Linked DNA regions of Rhinolophus ferrumequinum. The protein of the gene in region 3 purifies or fractionates together with the protein of the main gene of each other region. This does not show direct contact. Links are inferred from orthologs where the notes say so. Each region holds a gene or a part of one and is shown on either strand. Other genes may lie near its edges. The genes, in order: ANKRD52, ANKRD44 and PPP6R1.

Evidence for each region.
Region 1: the proteins of PPP6R1 (region 3) and ANKRD52 purify together in Homo sapiens (co-immunoprecipitation; 3 studies listed by BioGRID and IntAct, with this or other methods). This does not show direct contact. The link is inferred for Rhinolophus ferrumequinum from reciprocal best matches to the Homo sapiens genes PPP6R1 and ANKRD52.
Region 2: the proteins of PPP6R1 (region 3) and ANKRD44 purify together in Homo sapiens (co-immunoprecipitation; 5 studies listed by BioGRID and IntAct, counting the BioPlex papers as one, with this or other methods). This does not show direct contact. The link is inferred for Rhinolophus ferrumequinum from reciprocal best matches to the Homo sapiens genes PPP6R1 and ANKRD44.

The regions. Positions count from the first base shown.
Region 1 is NC_046293.1:55,591,522-55,601,130, reverse strand, and holds the start of ANKRD52 (serine/threonine-protein phosphatase 6 regulatory ankyrin repeat subunit C), read left to right. Parts: upstream 1-4,965; 5' UTR 4,966-5,074; coding exon 5,075-5,101; intron 5,102-5,418; coding exon 5,419-5,502; intron 5,503-5,966; coding exon 5,967-6,045; intron 6,046-6,245; coding exon 6,246-6,316; intron 6,317-7,339; coding exon 7,340-7,540; intron 7,541-8,019; coding exon 8,020-8,107; intron 8,108-8,242; coding exon 8,243-8,385; intron 8,386-8,658; coding exon 8,659-8,871; intron 8,872-9,148; coding exon 9,149-9,227; intron 9,228-9,532; coding exon 9,533-9,609. Other genes in the region: COQ10A (coenzyme Q-binding protein COQ10 homolog A, mitochondrial), read right to left, coding at 62-208, 715-848. UniProt on the Homo sapiens protein: Putative regulatory subunit of protein phosphatase 6 (PP6) that may be involved in the recognition of phosphoprotein substrates.
Region 2 is NC_046291.1:33,251,816-33,261,691, reverse strand, and holds the start of ANKRD44 (serine/threonine-protein phosphatase 6 regulatory ankyrin repeat subunit B), read right to left. Parts: upstream 4,229-9,876; 5' UTR 4,067-4,228; coding exon 4,040-4,066; intron 1-4,039. UniProt on the Homo sapiens protein: Putative regulatory subunit of protein phosphatase 6 (PP6) that may be involved in the recognition of phosphoprotein substrates.
Region 3 is NC_046298.1:48,431,663-48,441,307, forward strand, and holds the start of PPP6R1 (serine/threonine-protein phosphatase 6 regulatory subunit 1), read right to left. Parts: upstream 4,414-9,645; 5' UTR 4,317-4,413; coding exon 4,293-4,316; intron 3,192-4,292; exon of another isoform or gene 3,044-3,191; intron 1-3,043. UniProt on the Homo sapiens protein: Regulatory subunit of protein phosphatase 6 (PP6). May function as a scaffolding PP6 subunit. Involved in the PP6-mediated dephosphorylation of NFKBIE opposing its degradation in response to TNF-alpha.

The DNA.
Region 1 (9,609 bases), on a different chromosome or scaffold from region 3:
TCTAACCAGGACATGAGGGGAAGGGAATGTGGAGGGATGCTGGCCAGGGGAGGATGCTCACCCCATGATCCTACGCTCAGAGTAAGCCTTTCTCTTGTTGGTGAAGGGGGCAGCAAAGCCCATGAAGGAACGGCTAGGAGGTAAGCCAGCCTCAGCCGACAAGACTTGGGCAGCCCGGGGCAAGAGGAGGCTGCAGGAAATCAGAAATCTAAGGTCAAAAGGAAAGGAGAGACAACGTCACAATTCTTTGTGTTCAACCATTCCCAGGTGAAGGGGAATTGGGGCGCATCCCAGAGGAAGGTCGTCCAGGCAAGCTTTTCCCCTACCACCTGCTGCAGCCCGCCAGACTCCCTGGCCAGGCAGTCACGAGTGCGAAAGGTCGAGGGCAGCCGAGGACAGTGCCGGGGGAGGAAACGGGAGAAAGCGGGGTGCATGCGAACCGCCAGTTGTCTTTGAGTGGGGGCTATGCTACTGCTGAAAGCTAGGAAGCATCACCGTCCCCGGGGCCTCGCCAAGCCCGTTGCTGCCAGGGCGTCCGCGAGGGGCAAGAAGTGGTTGGCCACCCACCCCGGGGACTTCCCCTCGCGAACAACTTAAAAGTGTGTTTTCCAAAGCTCTACATTAGACCCCAGGGTTGCAACCCTCTGCCGCAGAATTTTAGGGTCTTAAGCGACCCCCTTTCCTTCCGCGCGGCCTCCCGCGCCTCCCTCTCACCTCATTGGTCGCGTCGGTCGCGAAGGGCCCAGGGGCGGGGCCGGGCGCACGCCCCGGTGGAGCCGGAGGCCGCAGCAGCGCTGGGCCGCTGCGCGGGTCCCGGCCGGGAGCCGCCGCGCGCCCGCCGAGGCCATGCGCGTGACCCTCCCTGGCCCTCACGGCTCTGCCACCCGCTGCGCCCTCCTCACTCTAGAGGAAGGGTGGCAGGAAGCGACCGACAGGCCGGTTCAGAGCCCGGGCGCGCAGGGGTGGCGAGGGGCTACGGCTCCTCTTGCCCTGCTCCCTACCGGGCGGTGGGGTGAGCTAGAACTGAAGCTGCGACCGCTGCTCCGGCAGCTCCCAGTATCCCCACGTCACGCCGTTGCCATGGCTCGGCACTGGGAGAGGGAGGAAGCAAGGGGACAACGTGGCCTGTCGGGAGATGTAGTTTCACACCTCTGGCGAGAAAGGGCATGGAATGTGTGTTTGAGATGTAGACGTGGCCCGGTGACGTGAGGTCACCAGGCAAACTGTTTGGCTACTCTGGGATCACTGACTGGATACATAAACACAAAGGCGACTTTGTGGACGTGTCAAAAGTAGATATCTGTTGATCTGAACTCTCTTAGAGCCTTTATCATATTCTGCCTTGTTTATATAATTAGTTCTGTAAGTTCTGTTCATCTTTGTAGACTCCGTAGTGCCTAGTGCTATGTTTTACATCTTTGAGAAAAGGAATGAACGTTCCAAGTTCTGGGCTAAGACTTTACATAGTTTTCTCCTTTAACATTTATACAAAAAAGTTGGGGAAGAACCAGACTTACTTTTTACTGGAAATATCTTTGTCTGGAAAAGTGTGCACTTGATGAAGGTTGAGACCCCATGGCCAGGAACCCACTGCTTTCCATCATAATGGGGCGGGGGAGGGCAGGAAATGCTCTTAATAAAAGTGGGGACAAGAAAAGAAAAAAAATGGAGAGAGGAGAGAGAAATCAGCAATTAGAGCTGGATCTAGGTGGGTACAAGAGCCATTAAAATTCTCCCACGTTGTAGTAGAGGAAGGACATTTTAAGAATGCTGGTGCCTGCTGTTACATTTAAAGATGTTTATGCTATTACAGTGCAAGCCCCTCCTCTGCTTTCCTTCAGAATCCTCAGTCAAGCTCTCCACATTCAGGGAAGCCTTGTCTGAGTAGTGTTGGGGGGAAGCGGGGGCAGGGATAAAATAAAGACAGTGTTGCCTTTTGGATCTAATTGGTGTGGAAGAGAGACATCTTGCCCAAAACAGGGGCCTGGAAACAGATATAAATCCTCCAAATCCCCCCCACTCCTTGAGATTGGCATTAATTTGGGGCCTTCCACTGGATATAGATTGATTTAAAGTTTGAGCCCATTTTATCTGAATTTCAAGGAGCAGGAGCCCTCCCTTGAACTCTGGCTTACATTTAACATTCTGTAAGGAAGGTGTTTTAATCCTTATATATACAGGAGTATAAAGCCCCAAACTGGTGGAATGATCTAATTTCTTTTTCTCTCCTAACATTTCTTCTTTTTCCCTCAGCACCCCCACCCCAACCATCCAAGATACGGTACCTCCTTCCAGTTCAAAGATGATAAAATGGAGCCTCTCTTGGATGGGCATATGACCTTGGGGAACAGATTTACTCTTTCCAACCCCACTCTCTTGTCTGGCCCCACTCTCTCTGACTAAGGGCTTACACATGTGAGACAGCTGCTTAGAGTGAGGAGGAAGGATCTGGCCAGATAAAAGACAGAAATTAACTGGGATACACGACTGAACTGTGACCTCATTAACACTCCGCCTTAACCGAGTTAACTGCTGCAGAATCCCCAAGGTACAATAGGCCTGCCAAGCCAATTTGCTTGTTGCCCCCTTACTAATTAGATTAACTAATTACTGCCGTTTAAATTTTTCCTAGGAAATTCCCTGTACTTGAAACAACCGATTGCATGCCATTTTCCCATCATTGTACATCAATAACTGCCTTCAAGTACTAACTTAAAATACATCTCCTCCAGGAAGACCCTCTTGACTAAACCCATTCCTTAACATTGATGTCATGTAAAGTAGCATATATCCCATATTCTCTAGTTGTTTCTTGTGTACGTGTGTGTTCTACTAAGTTATAAGCTCCACAAAAATAGATACCATTTACCTCCAAACCAATTAGTATAAGGCTGTACACAATGGTGAGTTTTTAATCAACATTTGTTAGAAGAATGAAAATTGAGTCTTAAGGACAAGTAGGCATCTGCCCAGATTTATCCAAATATGAATTCAGTAGCTGAATCCAGAAGGACTGTCTGCATAAGAGGGCTTTGCCACCACCTCTGGCCTCCTTCGCCTCCACTCTGTGCGTCTCCCTGAGCCCTGGAAGTATCTGTGTTACCTACATCATATCCCTTTTTTCCCTACTGGGAAATCCTCTTTCTGTGCTCTGAATAATATTAAAAATAACTCTTCTAGCCCTTCCTCCTCTTTCCAGCTGCCCAAAGAACCCGGCTGGCAACCTTCCTTGTTCACCTCCACACCCACGCCAGAACCAGGCACGTGACTCCAGCTTAACTCCTGACTCCCAATTCCTCAGGTTACCAAGAGCTATTTCAGGCAATGGAGGCCACATAGTCCCCTCCTCCCCATCCTCTAGGCCATATCCTAGCTTAGCCCTTCCTGGAAGGTCTATCAGACCCAATAGCCAAGTCAGCATGTCCCAACACCCATATCCATCTAATCCCCAACTACCTTTGGTTTCTACTTCTTCAGCTTCTCTTTCTTCTCCTTCATCATCAAATGTTAAGTGCTTCTTCCCATGTAGTGTTCTGCTAGAGCTACAAAAATAATTGCATGTATACCCTGGCTTTCAGAGTTCAAAATCCTTTTTTAATAGAAAAACAAACAAACAATGTGCAGTCTTGTGTTGAACGAAAGACAAGGAATTTAAAATCCATTCTGAACTACTGGGTACTTGTACATACGTCAAAGATATAAGGTGAAATGAACAAAAGGGTGCGATTTAAACGTGATTGTGACAGTGTAAACTAAGTATGTCAAGGAGACCTAACAAAAGGGAAAGAACCTGTTAACCAGGGAAGACTTCCTGGAAGAGGTAATATTTTCAATAATATCGCATTTATTTTCAATACGGTAAAAAATCAAAACATTATTAAAGGTATATAGTGATAGGTAAATTTCCCTCTCACACCTCATTCCCTGTTTCCCAGTTTCTCTCTCCAGGAAATAGCCCTGGTACCAATGTCTTGTGTGTTTTTCCAGAGGGAATCAAGATATTGAAAGCAACGAGGAGGCATAGATTGTTGGAGAGTGAGGGAGGGCTTTTATATCTATGCCTTGACACTTCGTGCTACACTTCTTCCTAATACACTTATTGAGTTGTTGAGCTCTGAACTGGTCTCTGAATCACCTTTTATAAATAATACCAATTTTTCAATATCCACTTTTCTTCCCTCTTTTTCCCTTTCTGGGCTGGGACGCCCTCCTTCCACATCTTCCCTGATTGGCTGCTCTCAATAGAGGAAGGGGAAGCACCCCCACCCTTTTCTGGGAAGAAACCGTTGAGCCTTTTAAAAGGTAGCCGCCACCCTACCACCTTAACCTGGCAGTAATTAGGGAGTCGAAAAGTGCCCCTTCTGTTGGCCTTGGAGGTCTTCAGCTGCTGGTTGTCTTAGACTCTTTGTGGGGATTTTTCTGCAGCAGTAAAGTCCTTGGGTTTTTCTCTATGAAGTCTGAGCACTTTTGCTATTTCCTTCCTACCCAACTCATGTCACCGCCAGTGGAGATAGGCGCCTTCCCTCCTTCTAAGGCTATTGCCATATATAATCCCCAGATCTCCACGCGCGTTTCCCCAAGTCTGGGGGGATTTGGGGGTGTATAATAGCTGACCCGAGGAGTTTGCTCCTGCGGAGGCATTGTGGGCTGGGTGAGATCGGGACAGCCATTTGGTGCCATTTGGTTGGAAGGCACGGCAGGGCCAAAGCCCGAGTTGCCGCTAGAGACTTGTGGGGAGATCCCGGGGCCGTCAGACTGGAGCGAAGAGCACAACGCGGCAGGCCTGGGAAGCCGGGAAACCAGCGCGCGAGGTGCGGGAGCCGGGGCCGCTCCGGCCGCCAGAGCAGGGCGGAGGGCGCCGCGGCCCGGGGCGGCGCCAAGGACCCTGCGGCCGGGCCCAGGACGGCCGCCAGGGAGCGCTGCGGGCTCCCGCTCGCCCGCCCCCCGGTAGGCGGGGCCGCGCTCTCCCCGCAGCAGCAGCCGCCGCAGCCGCCGCCTGGGCCGCCCGGTGTCCCCGGTGGAGCCGCTGCCGCCGCCGCCGGGAGCTCGATGCGGACGGAACCCGGCCCGGGCCATGGGGATCCTCAGCATCACGGACCAGGTCAGCCCTCCTGCCTTTTCCCGCTTCCTCCCTCCAGGGCCGGTCGCCGCCGCCACGCGAGCCCGGGGATGTGCGGCCTAGGCTGGGCCCAAGCCCGGGTCTCCCGCGGCTCCCGCCCCGCCCCATGCCGCGCTCCCCTCAATTGAGCCGGTGTCCTTGGGGTCCTGGCGACCCGCGGAGACACCGCGGGAGCCCCCTGCAGCCAGGACCCCAGAGCGGAGCCCGTCCAACGATGCCTCCCCCAAACCTGGTGTCCCCCCGCCCCCCCTCCTGGGTTCCGCTCCGGCTCGTTCCCTGAACGCCGGTTCTCCCTGCAGCCGCCCTTGGTCCAGGCCATCTTTAGCCGAGATGTGGAGGAAGTGCGTTCCCTCCTCTCGCAGAAGGAGAACATCAATGTGCTGGTGAGTTAAGATCAGGGAGGATGGCGAGCCCGTAATCTGGGCCCTGGTGTTCTAGACCCCTCTCCACCAGTGGGGCGGCTCCGTGTCTCCTTGGTTCGGATGAGGCCGTAGCTCTTTCCACCCCGGGATGGGCACCTGCTCTACCGTTAGGGATGGAGAACAGATCAGGCTCGGAGCACAGATCGGGGAGGCTGAGGATGCTCAGAAACGGTGTTCTCTTCTGAATCAACAGTGTCTGCAGCGACCCCTCCCCTCTTGAAAGGAGGAGACTGCTTCGCAGGCCCCTTGGCCCTGACCCCCTGACCCCACACTCCCTAGGTGCTTGCAGTGATCCAGGATTGGGATTTAGGAGGCTGCAGAACCAATGGGAAGAGGTTGTGGGGAGAAGACTGGGGCTCTAGGTGTTGGGCTGGGGTCCTCCGTTAGTTCACCCCCACAGCCACTCCTCTTTTTCACCTTATCAGGACCAAGAAAGGCGAACCCCACTGCATGCTGCTGCCTACGTAGGCGATGTCCCCATCCTCCAGTTGCTACTGATGTCAGGTGAAAGTGGGGAGCTGGAAGGTGTGGCACCTAGGGAGGGGATCTGAGGGGAGGAGCCTCTTTTTTCGTATCCAAGGATTGTTCTCTGGTGCTTGGTCCAGGCGAGGCTATAGCTCCATCCCAATTCCCTGGCCTGATTACCGGCTTCCTTCTCTACCTCTTTCCACCTGCCCTCAAAAGAGGAAATTATATCCCCACAGGTGCTAATGTCAACGCTAAGGACACACTGTGGCTGACCCCTCTTCATCGTGCTGCTGCCTCCCGAAATGAGGTACAGGTCTCCCGCCTCTTTTCACCCTTCGGAAGATGATGAGGTGGTTAAAGGTGAAGGTTAAGGGTTGGAGAGTCTCATTCCTTTACCTTGCAAGTTGATCTACTCCGGCTAGGGAGAAGACCAGCCCTTGGCCCCTCCCTCCTATCCCTAGAACTGGCTGGTAAGGGGGGGCTGAGTGTTGCCAGCTAATGTGACGTCAGGGGAGAGCTTAACACTGGGCTGGCAGACTGCAGGGGGCCCTGCTGCCAGGCCTGAGTGACTCATCCCTCCCTTGGGGGGCTACCTTGGAGTCTGATCCCCCTCTGGGTACTGAGATTTGTTTCCTTGTGATGGAGGGACATGGGTAGTGATCTGTTGCATCCCTGCCCCTCCAACAGCATGAAATTTGACAGCACAGGGGTCAAACATGCCTCATCAGTTGGGTCCATCAACCCTGAAGAGTGGGGAAGGTAGACCTCCCTCTTGGTTAGACGGTCACTTCCCTGGCTCCAGCCAACAGGGAAGGGGTGGGACAGGCCAGTGGAAATGGGGTAAGTGGTGATTAGGGGGGCCATTTTAGCCTGGGTTTTGGAGAGGAGCCATTATCTGTTTTCTTACCTAGGTAATGAAAATGATCTTGTTGCCTATGGAAGGGCTGAAGGAAGCTGTTAGGGGCCTTACAGGATTGTATATCTCTCCTAGGAGCAGTGAGGGCTTAGGATCCTCTTGTTTGGTAGTGGCTGTGTGTGTGGATGACGATTTTCAGGGTCTGGATTGGGGATGATAGTAGGTGGCTTGAAGAAGAGAAGGGATTCATGATTTCCTTAGCAAAGTGGGAAGATTTTAAGCTCTAAGAAGACCCAGAAGATGGAAAGTAGGTATTAAGAGGCTAGATATGTTGGAAAACTGAGAAGAGACTGTGTTGGGGGCGGGGGGAAATGGGGCCACATATGCCATGCTGACCTTGTTCTTCTTCCCATTTCTTATGTTTTACCTCCTGCTCCCCCTCTGTCATCTCTCTTATCCCCTGCCACTCAATAGAAGGTGCTGGGGCTGCTGCTGGCACATTCAGCTGATGTGAATGCCCGGGACAAGCTGTGGCAGACACCATTGCATGTGGCTGCCGCCAACCGGGCCACCAAGTGTGCTGAGGCTCTGGCACCACTGTTGAGCAGCCTCAACGTGGCTGACAGGAGTGGGCGCAGTGCCCTGCACCACGCAGTGCATAGTGGGCATCTAGAGGTGAGGACCTCTCCCAGTCTATGTCTAGCCTCCCTTTCCTTCCTACTCACCTTCCCTGGCTTCTGGGCCATCAGGCCTCAGTAGGAGCACTGAATGAATGGTCAGGTGGGGTTGAAGTTCTTGACTTGGAATTCAAGAGGGTGATAAACTGTCTGGAGTTGTATGGAAAATGTTGGTATATATGCCTTTTCGTGAAGTGAGAGCCATGTCTTTCAACACATTTTCAAAGACTTTTCAAAAGGGTTTAAGAACCCGTCACCTGAAGAGACCTCCTTGAGTTTTGACTCAAACTTCCGAATCTGTGTGGAATCTCCTTAGTGCCTGCTTCCTCTGTTCCCTCTAGTTCTCCAAATTATTCTGCTCAAGAACAAGGACATTAGGCTGCCTCGGCCTTTTCAGGAGCTGAGGCCTCTCTGCTCTTAGGTACATTGAGGGCTTGAACCTGGCTTTGAACAGGTGTCTTTCATATCCTGATACAGACGGTGAACCTGCTCCTCAACAAGGGAGCCAGCCTGAATGTCTGTGACAAAAAGGAGCGGCAGCCTCTGCACTGGGCAGCTTTCCTAGGTGAGAAAGGATTCACAGGAAGAGCAGGAATTTGACACTTAGGATTCCTGGGGGCAGGGAGAGGGGGTTGCAGCCTTCAGAGAGAGGCACTCGGGGCCTTAGAGTGCACCCTCTTTGAGAGCATCCTCTTCCTAGGGCATTTGGAGGTCCTGAAACTGCTGGTGGCACGGGGAGCAGACCTTGGCTGCAAGGACCGCAAGGGCTATGGGCTGCTCCATACAGCTGCTGCCAGTGGCCAGATTGAAGTGGTGAAGTACCTGCTCCGGATGGGGGCTGAGGTCAGGGTGCTGAGCACGGGGGCTGGGAGCTAAGGGCAGGGAGTTGGAGGTCAGAGTCTGTTACGGAGATATGAAGGTGTGGTTTGGGGAGGCATGGAGTATGTGGTGAGAGGATCTGAATAATATTTACCTTAAGTAATAGTGCTTTTAGTCCTTTGGGTCAAGAACCTGAGGGGGCTGAGGCAGTCATTGGATCTCCGGGATTCTTTATTTAGGCTGTCTGTTTAAACTGATACCTCCCTTACCCCCTTACCCTCACCCCTGGAAATCCAGATCGATGAGCCCAACGCTTTTGGAAACACAGCTTTGCACATCGCCTGCTACCTGGGCCAGGATGCTGTGGCTATTGAGCTGGTGAATGCAGGAGCCAATGTCAACCAGCCGAATGACAAGGGCTTCACGCCACTACATGTGGCTGCAGTCTCCACCAATGGCGCACTCTGCTTGGAGCTGTTGGTCAATAACGGGGCTGACGTCAACTACCAGGTGCCTGAAGGGGAGGAGGCTGAGCCCAGTGGGGAGAGGAGCCTGGCCCTGGGGGTCCTGACTATATCTTCCCTTTTGGGTAACTCTCTGGGGGAATTGTCCACTTGCCTCCTGGGTTGATCTTGCCAGGGACCTGGGAGAGAGTGGACTGAGAAGATATCCATATGACCACACAGTCCTCAGGGATGTGTCTTTTTTAAGGGGAACCAGGCATTCTCTGTGCTGTGCACTAACAAAAACCAAACAAACAAACAAAAAACCTGCCATGTTTCCACAGAGCAAAGAAGGGAAAAGTCCTCTGCATATGGCTGCCATCCATGGCCGTTTCACCCGCTCCCAGATCCTCATCCAGAATGGTATGGACTCGGGAGACTGCGCTCCCTTCTCCTCCCCCAGAGAACTCATTTCTAGAAACCCCTTTCCTTCCTTATTCCACCTCCCATCCCATCTTCCAGTCAGGATGGGTACTTGGAGCTATGAGCTGGGCCCTGTGGAAATGGCCCTGCTCTGTCTGCTCCATCCCTAAGGCTTATAAACAAGATAACATGTAGAATGCTTAGCCTGGCACCTGGCATATACTAAGCACCCAAATGGTAGCTAACTAGCGTGAGTGGTTGGAAGCCTAGGTTTGTCTGAATTTGTGTGTGTGCATCTCCCTCAGGCAGCGAGATTGATTGTGCTGATAAATTTGGGAACACGCCACTGCATGTGGCCGCTCGCTACGGACATGAGCTACTC
Region 2 (9,876 bases), on a different chromosome or scaffold from region 3:
GCAATCAGACTGCCAGGGTAGGACATCTTGCTAGATCACTTCCTGGGTGTATGATCTTGAACAAGTCAATTAGCCTCTCTATTCCTGTTTTCTCATCTATAAAATAGAAAGCATACTATCACCTACCTCCTCGTGTGGCTGTGACGATTAAGAGAGACGATTCACAAGGGCCCAGCATACAATAAGATCACGATAAATATAAGCCATTATTAGGTCTCTGCCATGAAAGACCAGCCCTCAACTGCACTCCCCAAACCATGTGAGTGGATCCCAAAACAACGAGAGAATGGTCCAAAAAATAAAGCCTTTCTTTTTCCCTTCTTCTCTGCTGAAAGCAGGACTGGAGCACAGTGTTTGCTGTAAGCCCAGAGCTCTAGGGAATGAAGGAGGATGAGGGCAGACAAATAAAATACACCAGCCAGTCCCAAGGCCTCACACCATCAGCTAGAAATCCTGCTTTCAAAGTTACAGGATTTCTAGTGTCTTGCCCTGCCACAGCTGCCAGCCACTGCCTTTGGCAAGGAGATGGATGACTCAAGTGTGAGCGAGGACTTGGCAAGGGGACACCAAACCAGAAGGCCTCCAGGCAGGAAGCTCCAAAAAGGGCCACCTGCTGAAACAGTTTGTCTACAGGCAGCCCTCGAGAGATGGAGACAGCATTCTGCTGTCACTAGCAAATCCAGATAAGAATACATATTGAACACGTCAAAGATCTAACAGAACTTACCATTCTGGCTTCATCACTTTGAAACACTTTAGAGAGGTCCAAGTTGAAGATAGGACCTCACTGCAGTGCCTTAACTATGTGACATAAAGAGCAGCCCCCCAAAGTTGAATAGCAAATCAAATTGCAAAGAGTTTCATGGCTAAATTGAGCCAAAATGCATTACATTTGTATGTAACAGAATTTTTTTCCCCACACTTAAAATTACCTCACTTTATCAAAGATATAAATAAACCTAATGTCCTTTTGGAGAAAATACTTACATTACTATATTAATTACATAGGTGAGTGTGTTCTATGCTGTGTAAGTTGACCAATTCGTTCTGGTTTACCCAGAATTTTCCTGGGTTTAGCAACAAAAGTACGATATCCTGGGAAAATCCTCAGTCCTTGGCAAGCCAGGATGGTTGGTCTCCCTACCACTGCAAGAAAGATGTTGTGTGAAGAGGAAGACAGAAGACACACAGTTACAAATGCAGAAGTGCTAAATGCCAACTTTGTTTGTTTGTAGCAATGCTACCAGTTCCTTCTCATAGTAAAAAAAAAAAAAAGAAAAAGACTGAAAACCACACTTGACTCTCCCTCATCCCTTTTTTTTGACTCTTCCAAAACAGAGTTAGGAAAGTTTTCCTCATCTTGCATGCTTGGGATGTCAGTGCAGGACTGACTGTGGAAGCCGTGACCAGCGACCCTCATTGCCCAACAACCTCCTGCACTCAGTTTCAGCAGGACAGGAAATGTCATCTTCTTTCTCTCCTTACTTTCGGCACATTTAAAAACATACCAAGACGATCTGTGATTCGGGTTATCAAGAGCAAGAATGTGTCCTCAAGCTAAATATCCAAGAGCCTTGGCAAAAATCAAGATTCACCTCACAAATTGGGCATTAACCAGATGAGGGAGGAGTTAGAATGTGATTGTTTTACAAACAGCTGAATGGAGAGTTAGGCACAAACCATAAGGCAGGGATTCCAAGCAGACAGCTCCCTACCCACAATGATGGAGCAAAACTTTTGTAGTAGGGGTTTAAGCAAAGGATTTTTAAGTCTTTGGTGAGTTTAAGAACCAGCTTCTAAGAATTTAGTTTCAAACTGAAAGTTACAACTATATAAGGCAAGAAAGACCACACACTTCCTGGACCTAAAGCCACCCAGAAACCATGGTTGCCCACTACCCAGAACACCTCTCACCCAGCTTTCCCCTGGGTTTGCACCACAATAAGCTGGCAAGTTTTAGATGCTCTTGAACCATAGAACTCCTTCAGTTCCTTTTATACATCAGGTAATGGAATGAAATGAAGGATATACGACTCTTTCTTTCCCTCCATAGTAATACTAGTTTGTTGGGGAAAGGGCGGGATGTGTTCAGAAATATTTTAAAAGACAAACAGTTTTGAAGGTCCTACTCTGAAAAGTCCAGAATAACTTCCTTTCTTTCTAAGACCAAGTAACATACTCTTCCCTAGTGTTGATATTGATTTAGAAGAGGATGCCTTCTTGTAACCCTTTTAACACATCCAATGACAAGACAGATGTGTCACCCCGAGCAGAAAGCACAAGAGCCTGGAAGGCAGGAAACAGGAGGTAGTCTCTGCCCCCGGGCCAAGAGTGGTGGTCCTTGAGGAAGACATACTCCAATTCTCCAGATCTCAGTTTCTTCATTTAAAAAATGAAGAATGTGGTCTAAAATTGTCTTTAGGGTCCCTTACAACTCTAAAATTTTACGTGAAATTCTTTTGTGTATGTGATAACCATAACACCGACTGGAAGCATTTTTTGTAGTTTATAGGTTTAGGAATAACAGACAAACATAGTCAGTAACATGTACTAGCAAAGATGACAAGACCAAGGCAGACTAAAACTGGAAGATTTAAAACAAGCAAATGTCCAACAGTTGTCAAAGTACGTGACCAAAAGGTGGGGGAAATCCTAATATCAACTTACAAACACTATTAAATGCTCTGGAACCAATGGGAACAAGCAGATCCATCATAATTACCAGCTGCTCCTCCTGCTAAATTTAACGATAACATGAAAGTTCAGTTCAGTGATCCCTCTCCTACAAAAAGGGAGGAGGGTGCTGTAAATACTTCGGGAAAGCTTTGATTCTGGAAGGCAGGAGAGCAAATCAGTGGTTCCTGATTGCATTTAAGTCGCAGGATGTTCTGGATACTAACTGGGAACGGCGAGGCACCAGATGCAACCCACCAGAGAAGTATGAGATGTTTACTACCAAGGGCGGGCATGTTTGACCGCGTATGTCAAAGTCAAGATTGTCTCTTGGACTACCAAGCCTCCAAAACAATGTTCCTTTCACCATCCATAAATAAACGGCGTGGGGGGGTCGGGGGGCGCAAGCTGCTTCCTTTTTTTTTTTTTTCCGTGTAAGAGGCTGCAAAGGGTTTTGTCGTGCAACTTTGGTTGGGCACCTGTGAGTGTCAATGTCCTAAGAGCAGCAGAGTCCGCAAAGGTAAGATGTTTTCATTCCACAGACCTGCAGCAAGGACTATCAACGGATTCAGCAAATATCCCCACCTCTCCGAACCAGGACTCCAGAGCTGCCCTGAGTGATGTCTCAGCAAGGGAAGCAACAAAGCTGATGGACACAGGTAGACGGGTAGGTAGCCCATCGCCTGTGAGTGGAGCCCGGGGTGGACTTCACTTCCTCCTCGGAGAGACCCGCCAGAACCGAGAGCGCTTTCTCCAAAGGTCTCCATCGCGCACCACGCACACACAGCCTCTGGGGCTACTAAAGAGGAAGTCAGGTTGTCATGTCAAACGAATAAAGACAGCCAACAACACAAGAGCCGCGGTCTGGGCCGGTCTCGGGTTTGGCGTGGCTTGGCTTGCGGAGGGGTCCCAGGATGCGATCCTCCCTCCCTCTCCATCCACCGTTCTCCTCCCGGCGGCGCGGACGAGCCTCCCCTGGGCCGGCAAAGGCTGTCGGAGCCCAAGCTGCGCAGCACGCTTGGAGCCGGAGGAGCACCTCCAGCCTCCCCTCCCCCTGCCCAGCCCGGGCCCGCGGACAACACGCACCCGCGCACACCCGTACCCCAGCGCCCAGGCTGCGCCTGGCTGCCGCCGGCCCCTTCCCCAACCGGAGCGCGCAGCTCCGACGGCCCAGGGCGGGGACAGCGCAGGGGAGGAGAGCCGCAGCCGCCGGCATTCGGAGCGGCGGGCGGCCGCACACACTCCTCCCCTTCGCCGCGAGTAAACAGCTCGCGGGCGCGCTCCGCGCCGCGCCTCCATCCCCCCGCCGGGGCTCCGCGCCGCCCCGCGCCCGCCAGTCCCGCCCGCCCGCGCCGCCGCCCCCTACCTGGTCGGTGAGTTTGAGCACTGCCATTCTTCCGCTCCTTCGCGCTCACACGCATACAGGTCCCGAGTCCGCAGATGTCACGCCAGGAGCCGGGGAAGCGGAAGGGATTGCCAGTGGAAGAGAAAAAAATCTGGCTCCCGAATTTGACAGCCCTCCCCCTGCTCCTCCTCCCGCCGAGAGGCTGACACTGGCTAGTGGGGTTTGCAGCGGAGCCCGCCCGCCTTTATACAGGAAGTACCGGCTGCTGCCAGCCAGGCCGCCACTGACATCACCGTGCGCGGTTCGTCTGGGCCGACGCTGCCTCCTGCCGCCCGCAGCCGCGCCTAGCAGCCCGCGCCCGCACCGGGCGCGCCGCAGTGGGGCCAGACGGCCGCCTGCCTCCCGCACCTGCTCACCGGGCCGGGGCGAGCTAGACCCGGGCCCCAGGGCCGCCCCCGCTGCCCTCCGGACCCAGGGCGTGCACAGTTAGAGGCTGACGGTGATCCACTTTAGCCCCGTCTCTCTCTCTCACACACACACACACACACACACACACACACACACACAGTCACACACAGACACAACCTGATGAGCAAGCCTGTGCGGACACACCCGAGGGGGCAAGAAAGGCTGCTACTCACACACCACAACTTTAATGTGGGAGACTGGGTCACACCCCTTCCCCTAAACCTCTTCCCCTAATCCGAAATCAAATTACCCACACTCCAAATTATTCCCACCCGGTCAAGGACCATTATTCTGACGCTGTCTTTGTTTAATGCGGGGAGGCCCTGGACACACTGTAATTCTTTAACGAGTGTGAGTGTGCGTCCAACCCTTGAGGGGTGGGGATAGGGGCTCTGGCCCTTCCACCTTGTTCTCCAGCTGCCTCCCAGCTAAACACACACAGACTCCATCGTTAATACAATCACTGGCTTTTGTTTTGGGGAAGGCGGAGGTGGAGTAGAGTTACTGGAGAAGAAAAGAGGTCCTAAATTACCACATTAATGGGGCATTTGAGTGTTCCCACCTGTCCTGACTCATCCATTTTCTACAAAATCCAGTTACCAGGCTCTTCAACAGATAGAAGACTCAGCTGTCAAACAGCATGGAATACAAATACAATAGTGATATTCATAATCATAGTAAGTTCTGATGCTTCTGGAATTTGGAGCAAACATTTATTCATTCAACGACTTACATACTCAGTGCCTACTTTGTACCAAGTTCTGCTTAAGCGTAGTATGGAAGGGGAAGCATAAACAGGCAAGATACCTAGTTGTAGGAGGTGTCAGACATAAACCACATAGTCACCACTAATGCATGTAATAATCATAAACTGAGATAAGGGATCACACGTGAAAAAATGCTTCTGAAGGAATTCATGACAAAGGAATCAAACCAGACTGGTGAGTGAGGGCAGACTTCCCTGAGAAAGTGACAAGAGTGGAGATTCTGGAGGAGGAAGAGTAAGGTAGGCAGGTGGGTGGGGGTACTGCCCCCAGGCAGCCGCAGGTGCCCAGGCAGGCCAGAGAACAAACCTGCAGGGCAGTGGCATTGAACGGCAAACCAGAGCTAGAGTTCCTGGGTCAAAACCAAATATCAACCCTCATTCACAAACCAAATGTGACTCTTCCACCCTACTTTCAGAGGCTCCCCCGAAGATTCCATATGTGAAAGGAGCGTAGGGAGTGGTAGCATCCTCCAATTTATCACCTAACCATGGAATTGTGATTCAAATCATGCAGAGAAGGGGGACGAAGAAAGCAAGCTCCTGGTTTCCACGCCTGGTATCCTCAATGATACACCGAGACAAAAATGTATCTCTTCATGGCCTCCCTCAAATAAAACAGATTGTTTTTGTTGCATCTATGAGGCACTTTTTCACTGCTGTTGTTTACAGGTCTATTTATTAATATCATCCTGCATGGCTTTGTAAATAAACTGATTAGGACACTGAATTCTCTACTTAAATAGAGCCATCTTTCACAAGAGTGATAACACATGATTTAATTTTGCAGATGCGCTCAAGATCCATTTTGGTTCATTCTGGGCATACCGATACATAAGTTTTTGGGGCCCAATTTGAAAGGAGGAGGAAGCTGGTCTCAACCCTATCAGACCCAACATCCCCTTTTATAACTAGAATTTTAAACATTCCCTTTATTTTCCTGAAATGAAATTCATAGATAATATTATCTACCTATGCAAATTACAAAAAAAATCAATATTAATGTTCTAATTGTATAATAAAGGAACAATAAAAGGAAAGTCATTTATAATTATGTGTATTTCAATAAGTAAAGGCTATAGCACAACTCTATTAGAAGACCAAATAAAGAGTAGATGTTTTGACCTGTATGCAGAACCATCATGCCTGAGAGAACTACAAATACAAACAAACATGAATGTGTCGTATTAGTAACTCAAATATCAACATTGGTATTGTCATAGGTGAGATAACTTGGTGAAAGGCTGAAAGGTTCTTTGTCAAGTTCCAAACACAATAAAGGCAAAGGATTGGGCTTAATTTATTGGGATGGGTACATTAACAGAAACTCTGGATTTAATGTGTAAGCTCAAGCATTGAAAGTGACGCCAACAGTTTCTGCGTTGGTTAAATGAAACTGACTCGGTGGTGATCTATGATCAGTGAGATCAAGACGACAGCATGTCCCTGGTATAATGCAGAGAAAGAAATTCAAAAAAGACATCCAAAGGTTTATAGAGATGGAAATGTTGGAGTGATTTTATCATGTGTAATCTGTACACCCAACCTAGTCAATTTCTAGGCATTGAAAAATACATTAGTAAGGGAAGCACCAGAAAAGCTCTGTAGTAGTTGGATATGATAGTGGGAGATGCTTCAATTGAGATGGTTCCGTGATTTCTATGATAATGGGGTCCTAGGACCGTTTAATCGGCAGGGACAAGATACTAGACACACTTACTACAATGGGCAGCAGAGACAAAGTAGTACTAAAAGGTCTTGACGTCCAGGGATAGATATTTGGTAACACCCTAGGTGGCCCTGGGAATGAAAGAGATGGGCAGACTTTAGAAATATTCCTTGATCTTTATAACAGGCAAAACTCGAGTTCTGCTGCCTGAAACCTGACTTGCGCCATCAAAATGAAAAGTTATCCCTCCTATTCAGTTTCCATACCTCAACCAGTTCCATACCTCAACAGCCACAGAGCCCCTTGATTGAAGAGAGGCTGGTCCCCTTAAGAAAGAATCTGGCAGCATTGCTGAAATTTATACTACAAATAGTCATCGAAGCCTTCCCCAAAGGAAGTAAGTTATGTCATTTACTAGGGTGACCATGCACGGGGAAAAAGGAAATACCCAGATATTTCAGGGATTACTAGACACTGTTCCTGAATTAATGCTAATTCCTGAGGATCCACTATCACTGGGTCCACCAATCAAAGTGGAGACTTAGGGTAGTCAGGTGGTAAATGGAGTTTTCACCCAAGTATCCAATAGGTTTGCAGATCTACTCTGTGGCTATTGCCTCAGTTCTTCAATGTATTATTGAATAGACATACTCAATAACTGGCAGAGTCCCCACATTACTTCTCTGTCCCACAGAGTGAAGGCCATTGTGGCGGGGAGGGCCAAGTGGAAGCCTCTGGGAATTCCTCTCGCTACCAGGATAGAAAACCAAAAGCAATACCACATCCCTAAAGAGATGTAAATATTGGCACCACCATAAAAGATGTGCAGGATGCAGGGGTGGTGACACTGTCACTTCCCTCATCTAACTCACCTGTTTGGCCTATGCAGAGGCAGGTAGATCTTAGACAATAACTAGGAATTGTTGTAAACTTAATCACGTGGTAAAGCCAGTTGCAGATGCAGTTATATATGTGCTATCTTTACTGCAGCGAATCAACACAGTCCTAGGTACCTCATATACATCTATTGATATGGCAAATGCTCTTTTATCTATTCCAATTTGCATCTAAAGCTCTTTCCTTTTATATGGTAAGGCAAACAGTACACCTTTACAGTCTTGTCTATGGGATGTAAATTCTCCTGCTCTCTGCCACAATCTAGTCTGTAGAGATCTTAATCACTATCCTAAAGACAGTAAGTTGACTGGACCTAATAAATAGGAAATAACAGATACTGTAGATGCCATAATAAGACACATGTGAACCCCAAGAAAATTTACCATCTAAGTGAAGTTTCTGGGGGTCCATTGATCCAGACAACATCAGGCTATCTCCTCCAAGGTGAAAGACAAATTGCTGCACCTTGCACCACCTACCACTAAAAATGAGACACAATACTTTTTGCGCCTCTGGATTTTGGAAGCAATATATCTACCATATTTGAGTGTAGTGCTCTGACCCATCTAACCCAGTAATGCATAAGGCTGGCACTTTTTATCAGGAATCAGAGAAAAAGAAGAGTGTAGCAAGACCCTATGAGCCAGAGGAATCCAATGATACTTGAAGTGTTGGCAGAAAACAGGGATGGTATATGGAGCCTCCGGCAAGCTCTAATGGAACAGTCACAGTGCAGCCTTCCTTAGTTTTAGAGCAAAGCCATGCCCTCTTCTGCAGATAACAATTTTCAATTTGAGAAACTGTACCTAGCTGGCTACTGAATTTGAACGACTGACCATGAGACACCAAGTGACTATGCAACCTAAGAACTGGATGCTATCTGACCCACCAGCCCATAAGATTGGGCATGCACAAGAGCAACCCCTCATCAAATGGATATGGTATATAAGAGACTGAGCTTGAGAAGGTCCAGCAACTTGGGCAGAAAAGGGTTGGAAGATTGATGACAAGGAGGTTTGAAGAAGGGGTAAATAGATGCACTGCTCAAAGTAAGCACAAAAACATTGTGTTTTTCTGTAAAATGGGTTAAGCTTTAGGCTAAGAGAATTACAAACAGATTTTTACTTACATGAATATCCAGTGGGACATTTGAAATCCATATTGTGAGATACCTGGCATTGCTGATTTCCACCCAATAGACATTTAGAACATCCCCATACTTTGTGACAACCCAATAAGCCCTTCAGATTTCAAAAAATATTCCCTAAGGGGCAATCCTGAGAACCACTATACTATAGTGATAATAGCCTATGATTTTAATAAAAAAATCCACCCAATGTACTATATTCCCTTTCACTGTGGTTGTTTTATTTACTTAATTTATGCTTTTTAAATTTTTATCAATATAAATACATGCATAATGTATGCATATGTATATATTCATGTGTGTATATGAATATGCACACATATATATCTATGTGTATATTAACATATAAATATACAAATATATATCACTGTAGTGGATGCTATGGTGTGCCATCCAGTTCCCACCTTCAGGACCAAAGTCCTTAGCCCCCAACTGCTGGGAGTATTGCCTGCTGACAGCTTGAAGTTCAACCTTCCTCCACAAATTGCTCTCAGCTAAAAGTAACGGCTTCACTCAGGGTTACATACAGCCTCTCCCTGGGAGCTATTCATATCCAGTGAGTACAAGGGTACAAAGCCAGGCTCCCTTGTCTCCATTCAGGACCTGTTATGGACATTTTAGCTCCAGAGCTCGCTCTGGGATCAGCTGAGGCTTATGCTGCAACTGCATCACAGATCAACCTCCCTCTGCCAGTCCTGCGTCCCTAATTCCCCACAGACTGTGTTCCTAAAAACAATCCAGTATATCTCAGCACGCAAAGCTCCATCTCAGAGACTGTTTCCTGAGGAACCCAACCCAATATACTCATATATTTTGACTTTACACTGGTGGTTCAGATAGCTAATTCCCTGTCTGTTTGTAAATAAATCAGAATCCCTTTCCTGGCCTAGGTGAAAACCAGGGCTGTATAAAAT
Region 3 (9,645 bases):
GGCAGACGCCAGTCTCTCTCCTACACCACTCTCAGTCTTCTCTGTCCCACGCCACTGCAGCCATGGAGAGCACCCTAGCCACAGACGGAGCACCAACCCAGGGAGAATGATGCTGACTCAGAAAGTGGCTGGGGCTGGGGCTAAGGAACCTGCAGGTGCAGGTGACAGGCCTCTGAGCCTGTCCCGTCGCCGCACCGCCACACGCAGCTCTCCTTTCCAGCCTCCACAGGAGCCTCACTCACCACGGCCATCCTCCCCACCCAGGATCACGTCCTGCCCGTGACCAGGAACAAGGAGCTCTAAATCCACAACAGTCCTGAGGGGACTCATGTCGCTTCCTAAGCCCTGGCCAAGCACACCTGCAGGTGGAGTGGAGGAACAGCCCTGTGCGCAGGGACAGCCAGGAGGGGACAGCCCTATACTACCACACGCAGGGACTCACCCCAGCCGCCCTCCCCCGCCCCCCAACTTGGGCCATTTTTCTGAGACAAATTTGAGCACCTTATGTTTGTTCATTCCAGGCCAAAATCCTGTGATGACCTCTCCAGTCTCTGCTTTCAAGGTCCCAAGGGCCCTCGCCAACCTCCAGTTCCGGGACATGTGTCCCAACCCGCCCAGCATGTACACTGTCACAGTAACGACACACGTGCAGTACACACGCCCTAACTAGATGACGAACTGCACAGAAGTTCCTCGCCAGCTGCCGTGAGCACCCAGGGACAGAACCTAGCACAGAACCTGGCACTCGAAACATGCTCAGCAAAGTTAGCTGAAAGACTCCCTGCCTACAAACAAACCACCTTTCCCCAGGCCTTGCCCGAGGCGGGAGGCTGCCAGAGCTGTCAGGGGAAAGGGAGTGGTGCCCATCCCGCCCCCCAGCCAAACTCAGGGGCTCCCTAAACCCCAACCCCAAGGTGGGGCGGGCTGCACTAGGGGTGGAGTGAACTACAGCTCCAAAAGGAAACCAACCAGTAGCCCCCTCTGCAAGTGCATGGCCACCCTTCACACGCAGGCAACCCCTACTTGTGCCCAGAGCCTAGACCTCCTTGAGGGACCCTCCCACACATCCTACCGCATATGATGACAAGTCTGCGACAGCGCCCATGCCACAGGTGAGAAAAGTAAGGCTCAGCAGAGGTGATACACCAGCCCCAAGGCTCTGATGGCCCAGGGACGGACTTCCTGAACTGGGGGGACCTGGGACCAGTCATCTCAAGGGGCAGCCACCGCCGGGGGCCACAACAGGCAGGGACCTGGAAGTGGTGAGATCACCACGTGTTTCTACACTGGAGACTTTCTCATGGCAAAAAGGAGACTAGAGAAGCCAAAAGGCCACCCAAGCAGAGTGAGTAAAGCAGTCACCGAGGATCACAGGCCATGTGACTCCATCCACATCAAATGTCCAGTAAGAAAAAACCACAGGGACAGAAAGTACATTAGTGACTTTCAGGAGCTGGGAGAGATGGGAAAGGAGAATGTGGGTTTTCCTTTTGGGAAAGGATGTTCTTAAAGAGCCCCCCAAAACTTCTAAAGTCAGTTATACACAACTTTATTTATCATACTTCAGCTGAAAGTATCCATTGTGGTGAAGGGCGCTCAGCTCTGTGACTACTAGGAACTACTGAATCACGCACTGTAAATAGGTGAATCGTGCAGTGTGTGAATTACATCTCAACAAAAACTGTTACCAAAACAAAACCAGAGCTGTCTGAGTGCCATGCGGGGCCAGGCCCAGGCCTCGCTCCAAGTCGCCGTCACCAGTCACCCCAAGCTGAGCAGGCGCCAGCTGCCCACCGAGCTGAAGCACATGAAAGGTCCGCCCTGGGGAGCCTTCCCAAGTGGCCCCTCCCCACCTCCCTACCACTGTTCCTGAGCTAAGCAGGCACCCCACAGCTGGGGGGCAGGGCCCAGCTAGCATCTGCAGAGAACCTGTGTACTGTACACGGCACTTTCTCTCATCTCATCGAGATGACAAGGTGTAGCACTGTTCTTATTCCCATTTGATAGGGATGGGGACCCAGAGAGGGGAGCCCTGGCCACCAAGAGGCAGAACCAGGACTCTGCGAGCCCTGCTCTTCTGACTAAAGGCCCACCCACTTCCAGAGCAGACGGTTTGTGTGCAGACTATGGCCCCACCCCCCTCCCCTAATCTCCCCCCACCATCAGACAACAGGTCGGATTTCCCTCCCAAAGCTGGCTTTCCAGAGAACCAGGGTGGGGTTGGGAGGGGTGGGGGCCTCCACAACAAGAAAGGAGGAAGCTGGGTGGCATGGAGTATGGATTCCCGGGGCCTCCCAACCCAGGTGGCCCCTCTGAAAATCAGGAGGTGGCAAGGCCCAGATGCAATCGAGTGGTGGTCGGTACCTTACACATATCACTTCTCAAGCTCTACACAGAACGAAGATGCAGGTATAGAACTAGAAAAAAGAACACACTAAAAAGAGGAAAAGAGAAAAAAACATTCCTGGCCACAAACTCAATTCACTCTAGCTCCAAGTCCTGCGGGCCAACCTCATGTTCTCACTTAACGCAAGTTGCTGGAAACCCTGGGGATAGGACAGGTGGTTTCCTTCTCACTCTCACGGCATGAACCTAGGCCAGGCAGCTGGCACCCCAGACCCGTTTCCAGTCTGTGAAATGTGGGCACAGCCCACCAGGAAGGCCCATGCTGTGAGGATAGCTGGGTCAGGCAGGTGACAGGCACGCGCTCGGCAGGTTTTGGTCCCTTCCTGTCTGTCCCTGAAACCATGCCGAAGCCCAGATACTTCTAGTGGGAGGGAAGGAGACCGCCATACACTGGGTGACGGTGCTAAAAACAGAAGAGTAAGACAGAAAGACTCTGACCGTTTGCCTGAGTGATTCAAATGTGCTGGTGGGCACTACATACCCCGCCACCCCCACCCTTTGCAACGTTTAGCAAACTTCAAGAAAACGGAAGTGACTACCACTGGTTTTTAGAAACTGGATGAAAACCAAGACTCTAGCTGCAAACGGAAGGGGAAACTATAAATGAGAAAGGAAGCCATTAAAAAACAAACAGCACCTGTCCATCCGCCAGCTCTGCACCATGGCCTTGCGCTCTCACTTTGCTGTGCTCTCAGGCCTCCCCGCCTGGGCTCAGACAGGGCCTGCCTGCAGCTCCCACAGAGCTGTCCCCACTGTCACTGCTGCTGCCACCACCCGTCCAAACAGCTCCGCCTGCCGGGGAGCCCTGGGTTGATCCTTTATCTGCCACCCCTTCCTGTTTGCCTTGGCCCCAAAGTGCCCGGAAGTGGAGGTCAAGGGCGCAGAGGCCTCTGGGAGGGCCTCCAAAGTGGCCACCTGAGCTGCTCTGAGGCTCAGCAGAGGATCCAGCGTTGGGAGAAACCATCTGGAGCTGGTGACTGCTGCCACCCTCCAACCAACCGTTCTAATGTGACATAGGTGAATCCCAGGAGGTGAATCCCAGGAGGGGAGAGAACCCCCTGGCTCTCAGCCGTGGCAGGGGCATTTCAGAGGATGGCGAGACCACCTGCCTCCAACCCACTGTTAGCTCTCAGCTAAATCTGGAAAGGGGGTAAGGGACTTCAGATTCCAAGGACAGGAAGATGGGGGCAGGAGTGTGTGAATATGTACGTGTGTGTGTGTCCACAAAACCCAACGAGGTAGGCGGTGGAAGAAGGGGTCACTGAGGCCACACAGGAGGACAGGCTGGGACCTTACTGTGACTCAGGAAAACTGTGTGGGGGGTACCCAGTTAGAGTCAGCTCAGGTGCCTCTCCCTCTGACCCCAGACCACATTACCCTAAGGGAGGTGGCCATGATGGTCCGTCCCCAGGGGAATGTAGTAATTTGGAAACAACAGACTGGGGACACCTGGCCAAGGCCTGAGGAGGTGCCCGAAAGCTCACAATCAGGATGGTCTCCTGGATGGGCCATGGGTTCAAAGGAAAAAAGGAAAAGAACAACAAACAGATTTTGAAATGCCCCTTGGAAAACAGAGGTGCAGACTGAGTGTTACAGGTGATCCAGTCAAAAAGGCCTGGGTTCCAGTCCTACCTGTCCAAACTGAAATCTCTAGAGACCTAACCCCACGGAGCCTGAACTCCTCACCTGTGAGACACCTCAGGGTGATGGTAAGACCACATTTCCCATGGGAAGGTCCATAAAACTGACATTCAAAGGGAAAACTGGCTCAGCCTCAAAAGGAAGGTGTGTCCTCAGCCCCAGTGCAGAGCCTGCCCACGAGTCCAGGAGCCCAGAAACACCAGGAAAGCTTCTCATTCTCACCAACGCTTCTAGGTCTCTCTCACCTCATCTCTTGCTGCCACCCGCATGGCGCGCAACACTCCTGCCACACCTGACTGCTCCTCTGTGCCCTCGCCTCTGCCCTGGCTCGCTGCTCCCTCTGCCTTCCTCCAGCCCTTCGAGCCTGACTAGCTCCTCCTGGGTCCTTCAGGCTTCAGTGCAGACACCACTTCCTCCAGAAAGCCTCCCTGACTGCGTTAGGGGCCTACTCCACACTTCCACAGCTTCCGCGGTCACCGGGTGACAGCATCTGAGGGCTCTGTGACAGCATTTGCCTGTTTAGTCACCTGCCTCTCCCTGCCAGATGTCCACTTCCCAGAACCTAGCATAAGGTCAGGCCCACAGCTGGAGGTACTAGTTGAATGAATGAAAACTGAAGGTCATTTGGCCATAGGTCCTAAAGAAAAGTTGTAGGGGATAGGGGGGAATGAGCATTCTCCTCCAATGGAATCAGTAGATGACCCAACAAAAAGAACCAAAAACAAGTCAAAATACACAACACACAGCCACTCACAGGTAGTAACAGAGCAGACAAGCCAAAATTACATCACACCCAGGCAAGAGATCAGTGTCCCCACCACAGCCCCATTGACAGGGTCTGACACAGTCACGGGGACCATTTTGTGCACTGTAGGATGCTGAGCAGTGTCCCTGGTCTCTACTTACCAGGTGCCAGTAGCATCCCCCAAGTTGTGACAAAAAAAGTCTGCAGCCATTGTCAAACTTCCCCTAGGGGACACAATCACCCCCAGTTGAATACTACAATAGGTAACCCCAAACCAAATACTAACCTTAAAAGCTGCTGATTCTGGAGCACTTCCTGTGCCCTGCAGATTGCTCCAGGCTCCTATAAACAGCGCACTGAACCCCCAGAACCAGCCTGAGAGGAGACCGATGTCAACGCTACTTTATACCCCACTGGCATTTCCTTACAACTCTGAACACCATACCACACCTGACAACCCATCTTCCTTTAGACCAGGGGTGTCAAAACTGCGGCCCGCGGGCCATTGTTAATTGGCCCGCAGCAAATTCCAAAAATCTATTTAGTTTACTTAAATAAACCAGGTGAGGCAACACGTACTTCACCTCGAGTGAGTGGCCCGGCTGTTGGTGTGTTTTACCGCATACGGCCCTTGGTGAGAAACGTTGAAAACAGTTTGGACAGCCCTGCTTTAGACAAACACCTTGCCTTTTGGGCTGATGTTAATACAGTAACGTTTGCGTCCTTAGCAGAGCTGTACAGTAGAGCAATCAAGAAAGACCCAGCAAGAAGGTCACCCTCGGGAGCCTAGACAAGTAGCACCCCCAAGGTGTCAGGCCACTCCCTCCCAATACATTGCACTCTGGGCGCACACCTGCTCCTGGGTTCCCACCTTCACATATCTGCACGTGCTGTTCTTCCACCCAGAAGGCCCTTCTTCGCCCCCGTCCATGTCAACTCCTACTCATCCTTCCTGGACAGAAAACGCCACCAGGAGCCAGTCTCAACAGTCCCTCCTCAGCCGTGGGGCCTTCCACAGCACCCTGACTTACCTCTATCACACCACTACTATTGTGACTGACTGGCTCTGCCTTTGTCTCCCAGGGCTGGTCCCTCCCTCCCTCAGTGCCCAGCACCAGGCTCCCTGCCCTGCCCTCAGGAGGCCTCATCTCACAGAATAAGACTCAGTGGTGGCAGCTCCACAGAAGTACCGCCCAAAGCCCAGCTCACAAGAAGCCGGGGCCATGGGGCGGGAGAGCCTGGTCAGGGTGAAGGGAAGCCCCATTACTCCAGTCGTCCTGAGTCCAAGGACGACAGTCAGAGGCCATGGAATCCAGGATGGCCGGCGACAGGGACAGAAGGGTAAGGGGTGTCCAAGGGAACGGTCCGTGAGGAGGAAAAGATGAGGGTGGGTGGGGGGTAGAGGAGTAAGAGTAGAGAGTAAGGAGGTAGGAGAAGGTTGGGGTGTGTAGAGAGAAGAGACTGGGGAAGGTGGGCTAGGGGAGGGGAAGGCCAAGGAGACCCACTAAGAGACGGAAGGAGAGCCCATGGTAGGAGGTGTGGTGGTCGCGGGCGGGGGTACGGGCCTGAAAGGGAAGGAGGAATGGGGTGAGCTGGAGGTAGAGACTTGGGAGATTAAAGGGAAAGACTAAGAAACGTTAAGAGCCTGTGGAGAGAGACTGAAAGACGGGGGCTGATGGGGAGAAACTGGGAGAAACCCCAGGGAGGAGAGGAAGGGTCCGAAGAAGGGCTGGGGAGACTCGACGGGTTCCGAGACGAGGCCCCGGGGAACCCGGGACGCCCGGCCGTGGGGAGGGCGCCGGGGCGGCCGCTCACCTGCGTCGGGGGGCGGCGGCTCCTCGCACTCGAGGCTCATCGGGGCGCCCCCCCCGCCCCGCTGCCGGCGGATCCGGCCCTGCTCAGGGGCCCGGTACGTGGGGGCGGGGGGCGGCGGTGTGTAACGCTGGCGCAGACGCTGGGGCCGGGGCTCGCGCACGCGTTCTCGGGCCTACGTAGGGGAAGGCCCTCGCGCGCCGAGTTCCAGAATTCGGGGGTCCGCGCCGGCTGGGTGCGGGCGGGGGTCCGAGACTGCCGGTGATGTGGGTGCGAGTCCCGACCCGGGGCTGAAGGAAGTCAGCGGGGTCGCGAGGCCCGCACAGGCTCTCAGCGGGGAAGCCGCCCGTCTCCTGCGGCCAGCGCCCCACTGCAAAGCAAAGGCCGGTCGGGGAAGACGTCCTCCACAGTCCGAACAGGCCGCAGTGCTGAGCGGAGGCCCACAGAAGCCAAGGGCTACTTCCTCCCCACAACCCCCTCCCCACGCCGGCTGGGTTTCCCGGTTTTGCAGTCGGATTCAAGGCCTCCGAAGCCCGGCTACCGTCCGCCACTATCCCACAATCCCCACAGCGCAGGGGCACGCAGGAGACCCCGCCCTCCTGCCGTCGTCTCGGTGCGCGGAGGCCGCGCGCCCGAGCTCGGCAGTGCGCGTGCGCCTGGGGCTGGCCGCTCCCGACCCCGCCAATCCGGAACACCTCCTCTTCCTCCTCTTACGGTGCGCTTGCGCCTGTTGGTGCCAACGGTCTCCCCAAATAAACCCAGACAACCCAATGGGCAGGCGCCACTGCACACCCGGTAGCATTGCTGTAAGACTCCGGAGGCGTTCTTGCCCCAGAATTTCTCTTCCCGCTCGCTTCTGGCGGAATTTATTCGTTATTCTGTCTCCTCCAATCACATTCAGGCTTTGGCTCCAGAGTCGAGCTCCTGGGGAATTCGCGCCGGGTTTCTCTCCAACGAGGGCCAGGCGCCTGTGACCCCGGGGGGGTTCTTTCCAGACATCATCTCTGTGCCTCAGGCTGACTTCAATCCCACCACCAGACCTTTGCCCAGGCAGTGTCTTTACTACAGACATTTGCTGCTCAAAGAATTCTCTAACATCGACTGGAAGGGTTCTCCCAGACCTTGTATCAATATTCATTAAGGTCCCATATGTCTCTGGGCCTCAGTTTCCCCAACTTTCATAATTCCCCTTTGCCCATATTACAGGCCCATAAGGATAAGACGAATAAGTGGATGTAAAGATTTAGCTTTTATTTTTAACCTTCAGTGTTACCTTTTTCATTTCGGGGACATTTTATTGAATGTTTCACTATATTTACCTGTTCTAGATGCTTGTTCTCTCTTTCAAGGATGCCAATTATGCATTTGTCCTTCACATCTGTTAGCTTCTCTTTAATTGCTTTAATCTTTCTCATTTCCTCCTGCATTCACTGATTACCATGTCTGTAATTTGATTGTTCAGCCATGTCCCTTCTGGTCCATGCTATTTCCAGTGTATTTGTTGTACATGATTTTTTTTGGTCCTTGTATCAGGTAGCGACTGTTGTGTGACAGATAACCATAATAACCTCAGTGGCATGTATCATGTTTGCAGCTTTGAGCTGCAGATGTGAAGGTTGGCAAGCCGAGGCCCGTGTTTGCCCAGTGCTGTCTGTGACCAGATGGGCAAGAGTGTCTAATGCTGAGATGAAATAGCAAGACTATAGCCACTTCCTCTGATTGGCTCTGATAGTAATAAAGGTGGCAATTGATCTCCGATTCTCAAATCCTAAAGATACCTTTCAGTTTATCCTGAATTTGGGAAGAGGGGTGAAAGTAATTGGTCCCTACAAAATCCCAAGTACAAGTAAATTCCACACCAAAGAAATTAGTCTGCCATCAAACAGAGCTAAGAAGCCAGGATACAGGACGTAGGAGTACAGCTTCGGAATTAACCCAGGTCTGAATCCTGCCTCTGTGAACTCGGCCACAAATTAACCATCTTGGGCGCAGCTTCCTTGTCTGAAAAACGACAATGGTCAGGCCTCGTGGTTGCAAAGGACGCAACCTTAAGCTAAACTGAAAAGCAACTTACTAAAGGGGGTGAGGCAGTCCCTCTCCCAGCCCCACCATCTCGGAGAAGGCTAGAGAGAAGGCTCGGTACTTTGCACTCCAGGAATGCCAACCACCGGCTTATCGGGGGCACACGGACTGGCCTCCACCACCAGTGCAGGCAGAGCCACCAGACCTCTCCCGGCACCTGCTCCTTTCTCTATCACTAGCTCCCCAGTAGGCCGTGCAGCGAGCTCTGATTGGTGGGGCTGAAATCACGTGATGTACATCTGTACAAGATGCTGGGAAAGAACATGGTTTCCGCCTTAGGGCAGGTGGCGTGGACGTCTAATGTGGGGGATTCCTCAAACCGAGGAGAAATCAGAAACGATGGCTGGCCGAGAAATATGGATGTTCCCCCACACCCTCTCGAGAGGCCGGGAAAATGAAAGGAGACAATGGCTCCGGATTTTAGAGAGCAGCACTTTTATTATTCCCAGGTTCTGCCCACTGCCATCCCCTCCAGTGGCTCCCCAGACCTCCTAAGATCGAGCCCCTTCTCACCTCCCCAGGCAACCTCCAGTGGAGCTGACAAAGGTGGCAATGAAGGTGGAGAAACACTTTTATTGTAAGGCAATGTGGACACAGAATGGTGGAATGGCGTGCGAGCATGAAATGGGGTCCAAGGAGCTGGTGCCTTTCTCAGCACCCCTCCTAGAGGCAAAGATGGGCTGGCACATCCCGGCCGGGCACCAACAAGGCCCTGTTCTTCTTTGGGAGAGGGCCTCATGGGTAGGAGGGAGGCAAGAGGCCTGGGGTTCCCACAGAGAGGGGGCTGGAAGCAACCGAGTTTCACCGATCCATGCTGTCATCCGTTGGGCTGGAGAAACAGGTCTGTAGCAGCTTTTCACAGAACTCCAGCTCCTCCTAGATGGGGGTTAGGGGTGGGCAAGAGCCAGAGCCCTGAGGGCACAGGCCAGCCCCTGCCTATAGCACGCCCTGCACCCAGC